Schizosaccharomyces pombe: one gene and its partner. The protein of the gene in region 1 purifies or fractionates together with the protein of each later gene. This does not show direct contact. Each region holds a gene or a part of one and is shown on either strand. Other genes may lie near its edges.

Region 1 (5,807 bases):
AAAAGAAAAAGGAAGCAAAATTCAATAAAGTTAAATTTAAAAAAAGCACCCAAGTAGTTTTTGAAGGAAACAGAAGAGTAAAACTTCGTCGAGGGTGTTCGAAAAGAAAGTACAAAGCTTGCTGGAAATTAGGCGAAAATCTCGTTGTTCGTATCATAATCCAAATTATAAACCGGAGCATAATTGGAAAGAAAGTATTCCCTAAAAATATCAGAATAGTTCCAAGAACCTGAGGAAATATGGCTTTTTGAAAGGAATTTAAAGAATCGCTGTTCAACGAATAGCCTAGATTATCAAACAGCGAACTAGAAGTAAACGCTGCCCACCAGCCTCTATTTATACCGCCGTCCGTAACTACACGACCGGATGTTTTAGCAGTATAAATGAATATTAGGAACGCAACCAAACCAAGAATATGCCAAAACAGAAAATAAACCACTAATATGACAGTCAATATCCTGAGAGATTCATATTCAATTCCCGCCAATTCTTCTCTCTCCACTGGAGTTAAGGCATAAAATGCAGAATTTCTGCCCACTGTTGCATTGTACGATAAATAAGGTAAACTCATTGTGCTAGCTTTCGTGTGAGTACGGTTGAATGTGAGTCTTCGAGGAAGAGCAGATGTAAATGATTTGGCTAATTGAAATGGTAGGACAGACATTGAGCGCTCATTCCTGTGAAGTGTAGGTGTAACAGCAAATGATTTACCACGTTTTCTACCTCGTCCATCAAGTCGATGAGCACCTTTTTCCTGCTCAGCTCCATTCGTGTCATCTAAAGGTCAATATTAAAATCACGGAATGACTTACCAGCAAAATATATAGGCCTGCGATTATGCCTGGGAACAGGGGTTGGTGCAATGGTAATTGCAGAGCCGCGTACTACATTTTGATGTGCATCGTTAGTAGTTGCAGCAGCCTGATGATCAAAATTCGAATTTTGAGGTGAATAAGATGCTACATGTGGATCATTGTCAACTCTTGTTGTGCTGTAGTTTGAGTTTGAGGATGAAACAGTTTCCTGATTACCATCATTTGCAGTTTCTAGGGAAGGATTGTGCGAAGAGATAGAACTGTTGTTATCCAGATGATGGTTCAGTTGTGTTTGATTCTCGTGGTCATGTACTTGAGGCTCAAAATCCTCAGGAATTGTTTGAAAAGATGATTCTTCAAACGAACTAGGAATGTAAAAGTCGACAGGATTATTTCTAGCATTGTTTTGTACAACGGATAAAGATCCATTGTCGATTGATGCCATTCTTCGTTTCCCAAGAGCTGGACTTAATGCTTCAGTTCTGTCTTCATTTTCTTGAGAATTTCTAACACCTGCATAACTAGGGAGAGCGGGCATGGTATTCCCGCGAAAGAAGCTTGGGCGATCGATTGCATTAGCAAATTTCCTTAGACGAAAATGGTGCCTGTGATGTTTTTCATTCTCTTGGTGTTCAGCTTCCTCAGCCTTAGTCTCTGGGGCAACTGGCCGGTGCATTTGATTACCCTGGTCTAACAAAACCCGAATTTTTCGATTGCCAACTTTGGAAGGCTCTGGAGTATCCCTTCTTCTTACAGTGTGATAAGTATATGTCATCCTAAGTTTATTATTTGTTATGACCATGTCATATCGCTTGTTATAGAAGTACAGCTTAAACAAAGTCAAGCCCAGGTTCACAGTAATTGGTGTACTCAAAACTCCAAAAAGGAGAATAGTTAACTAAAAAATAGTTAAAAAATTTATTTAAAAATATGCATACCTGTTGGTAAATGGATATCTGCGTGAGGTCCACAGGCTGCAAGCCAGTCTGAGTACAAGAACCAGAAGCCAACAACAAAGCATCTATGTAGCGCAAATTTCCCGACCCATACAATATTACTGAACATAAAATAGTCATTCCTATTATAAAAGAATCTTGAACAAAGTTAGGCTTGAAAAGAAGTTTTTCACATACAATGGTATTCAAGGAACCGGAACCGTTTGTAGAAAAACCCGATAACTGCATGATAAAATCTGTATAATATTTTCCTTCTTAAAAACCTTCTATATCGTACAAACATGTCATAGTTTATAAAGCAGTATTATATTGTATTTGATAAAAATTACACTCACGTCGATTTCAAATAGCTTCAGTGGCTTCTTGAATAGTGCAGTTTTGCGTCCTCACTATACGATTCACCTTGAACATAGCAACAACTAAACAACATCTGACAGTAATCGTTCTGTGCTTTTTTACAGCTGTGTCCAAAATCTCGTAGTGTATCAAGTTTGGTTTCAAAGATTTATTAAAAAGTATCTGCATGGACCGAACTTTGTTATGGAAGACGGTTTTGAAAAGTCGCTCAGCAGCTCTATAGAGCTACTGAAAGCTGAAAGTACAGGTATATAAATTTTTGTAGATATTTTGATTCATTTTTTTATTTTATACTAACTTTTTTTAAGAAATAGAAGAAAAAATCAAACTAACTAAAATTTTAATTACTAAGGTTTCTAGCATATCTTCAGACGCCTCGCAGCTGTATGCAGAATTAATTCCACTACTCTTGGATTTTTTACGAAATACAGAGGTGAATCTTTATAGAAATTCTTCTGTCAATGAACTCAAGATCGAAGCATTGACTTTAATACAAAGTTGCGCTCACCGTGATGAATTTAAACAATATGCGCAGTCTTGTGTGCTTTCGTTCATTAGCTTGATTAAAGCAGATAATGAAGAAGTCGCTGTTTTTTGCTTAAAAGTTATTATGGATATATTCAAAACTTTTAAGTTTTGTATAGAAAGCACTGCACAACCCTTTTTTGACTTGGTACTTGAGCTTTCTACAAACCTTCCTTATTTAATTCCCTCAATATTTGTCGAGAATCCAAAATCAAATGAAGAGGAAAATACAACCCTGGCTTTTGGTAGTTATCTGTCTACGGAAACTTCAATCATCCAACAGCGTGTCAATTCTTTAGCTATTTCTACTCAACCTTTGGAACTGGCTTCTCAAAGTTTCCGCGTGTATGTAGAGTGTCCGGTCATTATAGTTTTGATTCTTCAAGCATATCGTCAAGCTGCTTTCCCTGGTGTTCAAGCCATAATTCCCTGTTTTCTTAAGATGGTACAAATTGATGTTCCAATAGACATCGCTTCATATGCAATGATTGAAAAAGATTCAAGCATTGACTTTATTGAGTTTATAAGGAATAAATATCAGTACCGTAATTTTTTTATGGCTCAAGTAAAGACTTTATCTTTCTTGGCTTATATTTTACGAACTCATCCCAATACACTTTCTGAGAAGGATATAATACCGGACATTGTAATAAAGCTTTTGAGGCGATGCCCTTTTGATATGTGTTTTGCCCGTAAAGAACTGCTGGTTGCTACGAGACATATTCTGTCAACAAACTTAAAATCTCTTTTTGTCAAAAAGCTGGATTTTTTGTTAGATTTAAATATATTATTAGGAAATGGAGTTGGTACTCAAAAGCTGTTACGTCCCTTGGCATTTAGTACATTAGCTGACTTACTTCATCATGTACGTGACGAACTTAACGAAACGCAAATAAGAAAATCTATAATGATTTATTCGACCAATATGCATGATTTGACTCTTAGCATTGGGTTACAGACTATGGGTGCCCGGCTCATTTTAAACATGGTTGACAGAATGATTAGTCTTCCTAGCATCCCCGATGCTATATTTCTTCTTTTATCTATTTTTGATAGCTTTGTAAATAAGTTTTCGGAACTTAATGATAGTTTGGATCAGTTTTTTAAGAAAAAGTATGAAGAAGAAATTAAAGAGACAAAGTCACCGACGCGTTCTTCTCCTAGGGATTTATCTTCATTTAGCACTTCCGTCAATGATGGATCATTTCTTTTTAAAAACTTGATGTTTGGCTTACGGGCTCTTATGTATGGGCTTCGTACATGCAAGTCTCGATGCATAGAAATTGGAGGTGAACAATTTTCGGGATTCCTTACGAATATCAAGCCTTTCGAAGCTGTTACGTTTCAGAAGCTTTTTTTTGAGGTTGGCAAAGGATTCTCATATTTTCGACCTGAGCAAGTCTATTTAGAAACTTTTTTCTGCTGCGAAGAAGAAAGTTTAGATCGCCCTGCTATATCTACGCTTCCTCGTAACAAAGACGAGAAAGATTGTCTTGAAGTATTTGCTACCATTTTTATACATCTCGAGCCATCTATATTTCTTAAAGTTTTTGAAACAAACCTTCCTACTTTTTTTGATCAACTTAAAAAAAATCTCACATTATTTCACATTCCACAGTTTTTGCTTTCAAATGAGAGCACATCATCAAAATTTTTAAATATTTTACTTCGATTTCTGCTTTCCAGAATTGAGGAACTCGGATCTTCTGACATCAGGCATGGTTCTGTCTTGTTGCGTTTGTTTCGTCTTTCTTTCGTTACAGTCTCAATGTTTGCAACAGAGAATGAGCCAGTTCTTCGGCCTTATGTATCTGAAATTATTGTGAAATGTATGAAGTTGGCTCCCAATTCTGCTAATTCATTGAACTACTATTATCTATTAAGAGCGTTGTTCCGAGGAATTGGTGGGGGAAGATTTGAAAGCCTTTATAAAGAAGTAATGCCTTTGTTGCACGCTCTATTAGAGGCATTTAATTCATTGCTTATATCTGCCCGTACTCCGAAGGAGAAAGACCTTTTTACCGAACTTTGTCTTACTATTCCTGTAAGGCTTAGTCTTTTATTACCATACATGAGTTATCTAATGAGACCTCTCGTCATGTCTTTAAAAAGCAGTCAAGAATTAGTTAGTCAGGGATTACGAACCTTTGAATTATGCTTGGATAATCTCACTCCTGATTTTTTGGATCCGATAATGGCTCCTTACATAGAAGATCTAATGAATGCTTTATGGAGTCATCTACAACCTCTTCCTTATAATTATAATCACAGCCATACTGCCTTGAAAATACTTGGTAAACTTGGTGGAAGAAATAGGAAGCTTCTTGATAGAGTCCAGAGTTTAAAGAATTCGCCGGAACCGAATAACGATTTTACTTTACTTCTTTCGATAAAAGGGGTTAAACAACCACAACTTTTACATTACACCCAATATGTTGATGAGGCTGTGAATTTGCTTTCTAGCCCTTCTAGTGATCTGGAGGTTAAGCAACAAGCGTTCACTTATGTTTGCAATATTTCAAAGCTCTATGTTTATAAGAGTGACGCTACTAACAGCTTAGCCTCATCCATTCGATGTACTGCAGACAAGATTTCTAAGAGTAATTTTGATTTTCGACGACCATATTCTGTAATACCGAGCCGAATGACTGGAAGGAGTTCATTCACCCAACTGAGTGATGATTCAGATGAAACCATAATTTTGGCCTCGGCTACATATGGACTTTTTTTTGCTACGACGGTTGATGAACTCCGCGAAGAAGCTTACTTCTGGCTTGAAAAACTGGCGGTCAACGTAATTGTACACGATATTTTTTATGCTTTTGACGTTATTCAAGGAAATCATTCAAAATTTACGACTAATTTGCAAAAGGAGGTTATTATTAGTCCTCATTATTTTGCTCATTGTCTATCAGAAGTCGTTTGTAATGACAATAGCAAGATGGGTGATGCTGTGAAACATGTACTTAAATTTATGTTTAGTTTTTTAGAATCGATTTTTGAAAATCCAGAAAGGGCTTTTATCCTTCCAATTTTTGAGGTCTTATTATCTGATTTCCGGCACAAATGTTATGACCCTCATTGGTATAAAAAATACGGAGGCTGTTTTGGATTGGAATGTTTGATAGAGCAAGATCATTCTTCTAAATGGCTT
Region 2 (4,644 bases), on another chromosome or scaffold:
CCAATTGTACAATAATATTTCATCAGCGTCTTTATTCCTTCATAAGTCTTTATTTCATTACCACAATACCGAGTTTTCTCATTAAAAAATTTCATCTCACATACATTTTATTCTTTTTTTGGAAAAATTATTATATCATGGCAATTTTGGGACGAGACTTTGCCGTTGAATTAATAGCATCTCTCCTTGTGTTTGACTGTTTGACCAATTTGAACAATTAATTAATTCAATGAACAAGTTGCTTTCAATGTCTTTGACTAAACAATTCAAAGTTTTCAAGAATGTGTGTGAATACATCAAAGATGAAATCTACCAAGCGGAAGGCCGCTATATATATATATAGGAAAAACTTCTTACTACTTTTGGGCTAGATGCACTATTTATATCAAATTTTATGTGCTGATAGATAAACTGGTAATCCTTCTATGTGTAACTGATAGTGAGCCCTATTACCCTATCAGGTCGGTAAAACGGCGAATATCAATTCTGAATAGAGAGACACTAGGATTATCTTTGTTAGTGTACTTCCATTGTTTATTAAACGGTTTCAAGTTTAATTGCTAAAATTGTTTTTATGTTGTTGAATACTAAATATTAATGAGATTTTTGCCTCACAGTATGAAAATTATGTACGATATTAACCTTTCAAGTAAGGGAATCTACGAAACTCTATGAAGTAGATCCCGCTGCATGTTTATGTACCTGAATGCAAGCGCGTTTGTGTATTTTTGATGTCTTTTAAAGGTTTCGCAATGACGGGTTGCTCAGTTTTGCTTTGCTATTAGAGAGCTGTACTTATAGATCTATTGTGTTTTAAAAGTTGTTAAATTCGGCAGACTCTGCTAGGCAATGGTCTGATGTGCCGATAAATAATACATTAACTCATGTGAATACTCAAGTCCGTTTCACCGGAATTGAAAAATTCATTGATCAAATCGTTACCTGTGTAAGGTTTTGAAAACAATTTGCTCATCAATTTGAAAGTAATATGTATACTACCTATTGGAATCTCTCTGTCTATGCGTGTTAAACATACTTTAAAACATATTTCCAACCAAATCGACATTAACATATGGACCTATCGAATTAAAATTGAAAACTCACAGTTAGAAGATTTTTTTTAGCAAGTCAAGCTATCAAACAGTATATATAGCTACATAAAACATCGTAACGAACAGTAAAGAAGTGACGGGATTCAAAAATCGTAGCGGTAAATCAGAGTAAATTTGTTTGTAACAAAGCCGTTCGTCTTTTCCCATTACGTGAATCGAGCATCAAAAAGGAGTAAAACTGCAAAAGCAAATTAGTTTTGGACATGCCGTCGATCCCATTAAACCTATAATTCTGCTAAAACAAATCTCCTTGACATACAAAATATTAGTTGTAGTAAAATCATAATTCTTTTTATTTTTCACTTTTTATAAATCCCTTGTGATAATTAATTTTGGTCTCATATATAAATAACCGTTCATTAGAGTAGACCAAGCATAAATGATATGTACAAATAATCAGTCTTTCCCATCCTAGGTTTTTCTGTTAACAAGAGCTAGGTCGGAGGCCTCCGGCTTCGAGAGCTACGGCGAATAGCTTGGTTTGAAGCTGCCGGTGAAGAAGCAGGCTCTATGGGCTCAGTAGCCATACGCTTTGGAGAACGGGCTGTATTTTGAGAAGATGGCGAGACGGATCTTTTTCGCAAAGTCATGGAACTCTCTTTCTTTTCAGACTTTTCTTTTTTTTCGGGAATAACAGGCTGAATCTTTGGACTTTGCGGCTGTTCAGTAACAGGAGAAATACTTCTAGAAGAGGATCGTAAATTCCGAGAAATTTTCTCTTCTTTAGATTCAAGCTTGACTTTACTTTCCTTCTTCTCTTTCTGTAAATTCGTCTCCTGCTTAACTTCGGGTTCACCGGGTTTAGTTTCTACCGTTTCAATCTCCACTTTTTGAGATGTTTCCAATGGTTTCTCGGATTTTTCTTTTACTTTAAGAATATCTTTTGGTAATTTAAAATCTTTAACATCTGGCGACTTTATTCGTTTTTCTTTCGCCTTAACTTCTTCATTTCCTGGAGCTTCCTAATTTAAAAAACTGTCAACAAATACTTGAAAACAAAAAATTAAAAGGCTTTTTGACATACCAATTCTTCAAACTCTTTCAAATTATAAAGTGTTCCTAATTTATTCCAAACGTCCTGAGCCTTAATTGTTGATCTTTTGCAGCCATCACGAATTTCTCGTAAAATCCCTATCATATAAAAATTTTTTTCTATTCCTATTTTTTAATTAGTGAATGAATGCAATAATTTGATAACATGCAGCTTTTAAAATAAGAGACCGAGCAATTAACCTTTCGAACACTTACCTACAGGGCGCAATCCACGACAAATAGCTTTTAACAGTAAGGTTTCCTCTAAAACAGACCATTCAGTAACAGAATCATTCATATTTGATTCTTTATTTACATCCTCCTGCCTTTTCTGCTCGGCAGCAGTTGATGATCTTGTTCCCCTCGAACTCATAAATACAATTGCTATCCTCTAATACATAGGTTTATATGGGTAAAATAAGAAAATTTCTGTTTCTTAGTTTACTTTTTCTACTAATTTAACTTTATATTATCGGCAATATAGCAGATTATCAATATTTATGGTGTTGTGCGGTACTTCCAGCCATAACTCATGAAACTGGTTTTTATAATATTTTCTTTTTCTAGCTGCAGTAATTACAAGGTCAAGTGTATTTCATCTTTTTTCATAACCTTAACAAAAAATAAAAGTTCATCCAAAAAGAATCGTGCATCTTTGTGTTATCCTTTCTTCATTCTTAAATTCAATAGACATTCAAGTGCAGTAATTGAGTAAGGCTGCGATAACCCATAAAGTATTCTTATTTTAGTGAATCCTTTGTAACTTCCTTTAATTACAACTTACTAACAATGGAACTAAAAGTCCACCATGCTTGCAATTTCTTTTTCTTTTTTACATATAAATCAATTCGCATTATATAGGAAAATTTAACGATATTTTAGGTAATTTTAAAGTAGCTCATTTAAAGCCCTACAAGCTTGGTAGAAAATAGACTTTAAATCGTAGGTTTATTTCTATATCCATAGTACGGTAATACTAAGCTAGGAACATTCACATCCACATAAAGAAGATGATTAAATTTACAAAAATAAAAGTTCAATTTTGTAATATCAGACTAATGTATTTGTCCAAGGTTAAATTTAATCATGTAAAGTATGTGTATATTATACGGTAGGGCATAAATTTCTTATACAAGAAAAATCGTTATAATTTGTAAAAAAATAGGAGCATCGCTCATCCGTTGATTATCGTCATAAAACATTATGCCTCACCCAACATATATCCATCATTGATTGCTGTTAAGTCGAGTCGTCCAAATGTGTCGTGGGAATTCAAAACGATAAAATATAAGCTTCTAAGTATTTAAAAGGATTATTTGCTGGATAACCAACTATGTGAAAGGGAAAACAAAAAATCAACAAAATGAAGCCCATAGAGTTTAGATTCATCAGAAGTAAGTGATAAAGGGATAAAGAGCAAAATTTAGTCAAAACAAATAGCGTATAGTAAATGCATCTATAGTTGGCGTAAACAAAAATCATATCTTAAAAGGTACATAAACAGTTTCTTTATAATTGCATAGACTCTAAAAGTGGGAGACACCAAAACTCTGCTTGGAAGCGGAGGTAGAAGCATCATTATCATTTTTTGAATTGAAAGGTGAACTCAAAGTAGAAGCCTTTTGAAGCGGTGATTCATTTCCATAAATTTTGTCGTCAATCGAACGAAGTTGGTTTGTCAATGGTACTGCGAAACTGGGAGGTGGGGTTATAGGGGCACTCTTAGTACCATTCAATGAATGCTCTTGCAAAAATCGAGTAGCTAACGGTGCCGGCATATTAAATCTTAAATTTGGAGATGCAGGTTGCGACTGACTTACGCTCGTATTCTTTTTATTCGGATGAGTAACTACTAATTTTAACACCTCTCCATTCGGGCGAGCATAGTAATCGAGATCAAAGTACAGGCAAAAGATTCTAATGGCATTTAGAAGGTTTCCGTCCTTAGAAGTGGTTTCAAATGTTATTTCACGAGAAGGAATGCATTGATGAGCAAACAATAGAAGTCTACTATAAGTTTCAAGGGTACCAGTGTCATTCAAATTTAAGCCTTGATCAGTAAAGCTAACTTCAAACATCTTGTACTGCTGTTTACGACGTCTTTCTTCAGCTTGACGTTTCTTTGCTTTTTCCACCTTCTCGCGTTCTGCAGCTGGTAATTGGCGTTTCCATTCAACACGAAGACGTCTGCCATTAATTTCATAGCCATTAAGCGTTTGCACAACAACTTGAGCCTCTTCAGGACGATAAAAATTAGCAAAAGCCAATCCTCGAAATATTCCATTGTCATAGTGATAATTAAAGGCATAAGGTCTGGGAATACCTAGTTGCTTAAAATGATCCAACAATGTATCTTTCTCCAACGAGAAAGGAATATTTTTCACAACAATAGCCGTTGGAATGGTATCTTCACCGGGTTCAACCGGTGTTGAATTAGAATTGGCAGTCGATCCTGCTTTGATTTGGGTACTGTTAAAAGCATCCAACGAAGGCTCTGCGG

The links. The genes of interacting proteins can lie anywhere in the genome.
Region 2: the proteins of tra2 (region 1) and eaf7 purify together in Schizosaccharomyces pombe (affinity purification with mass spectrometry, with the first as the bait; one study listed by BioGRID). This does not show direct contact.

The regions. Positions count from the first base shown.
Region 1 is NC_003424.3:257,408-263,214, forward strand, and holds the start of tra2 (phosphatidylinositol kinase-like protein Tra2), read left to right. Parts: upstream 1-2,203; 5' UTR 2,204-2,311; coding exon 2,312-2,375; intron 2,376-2,436; coding exon 2,437-5,807. Other genes in the region: plasma membrane potassium ion transmembrane transporter Trk2, read right to left, coding at 1-777, 813-1,713, 1,754-1,908, 1,949-2,054.
Region 2 is NC_003423.3:4,258,803-4,263,446, forward strand, and holds eaf7 (NuA4 histone acetyltransferase complex subunit Eaf7), read right to left. Parts: upstream 2,660-4,644; 5' UTR 2,518-2,659; coding exon 2,361-2,517; exon of another isoform or gene 2,271-2,360; coding exon 2,137-2,270; exon of another isoform or gene 2,075-2,136; coding exon 1,547-2,074; 3' UTR 1,010-1,546; downstream 1-1,009. Other genes in the region: RNA-binding protein Cip1, read right to left, coding at 3,671-4,644. UniProt on the Schizosaccharomyces pombe protein: Component of the NuA4 histone acetyltransferase complex which is involved in transcriptional activation of selected genes principally by acetylation of nucleosomal histone H4 and H2A. The NuA4 complex is also involved in DNA repair.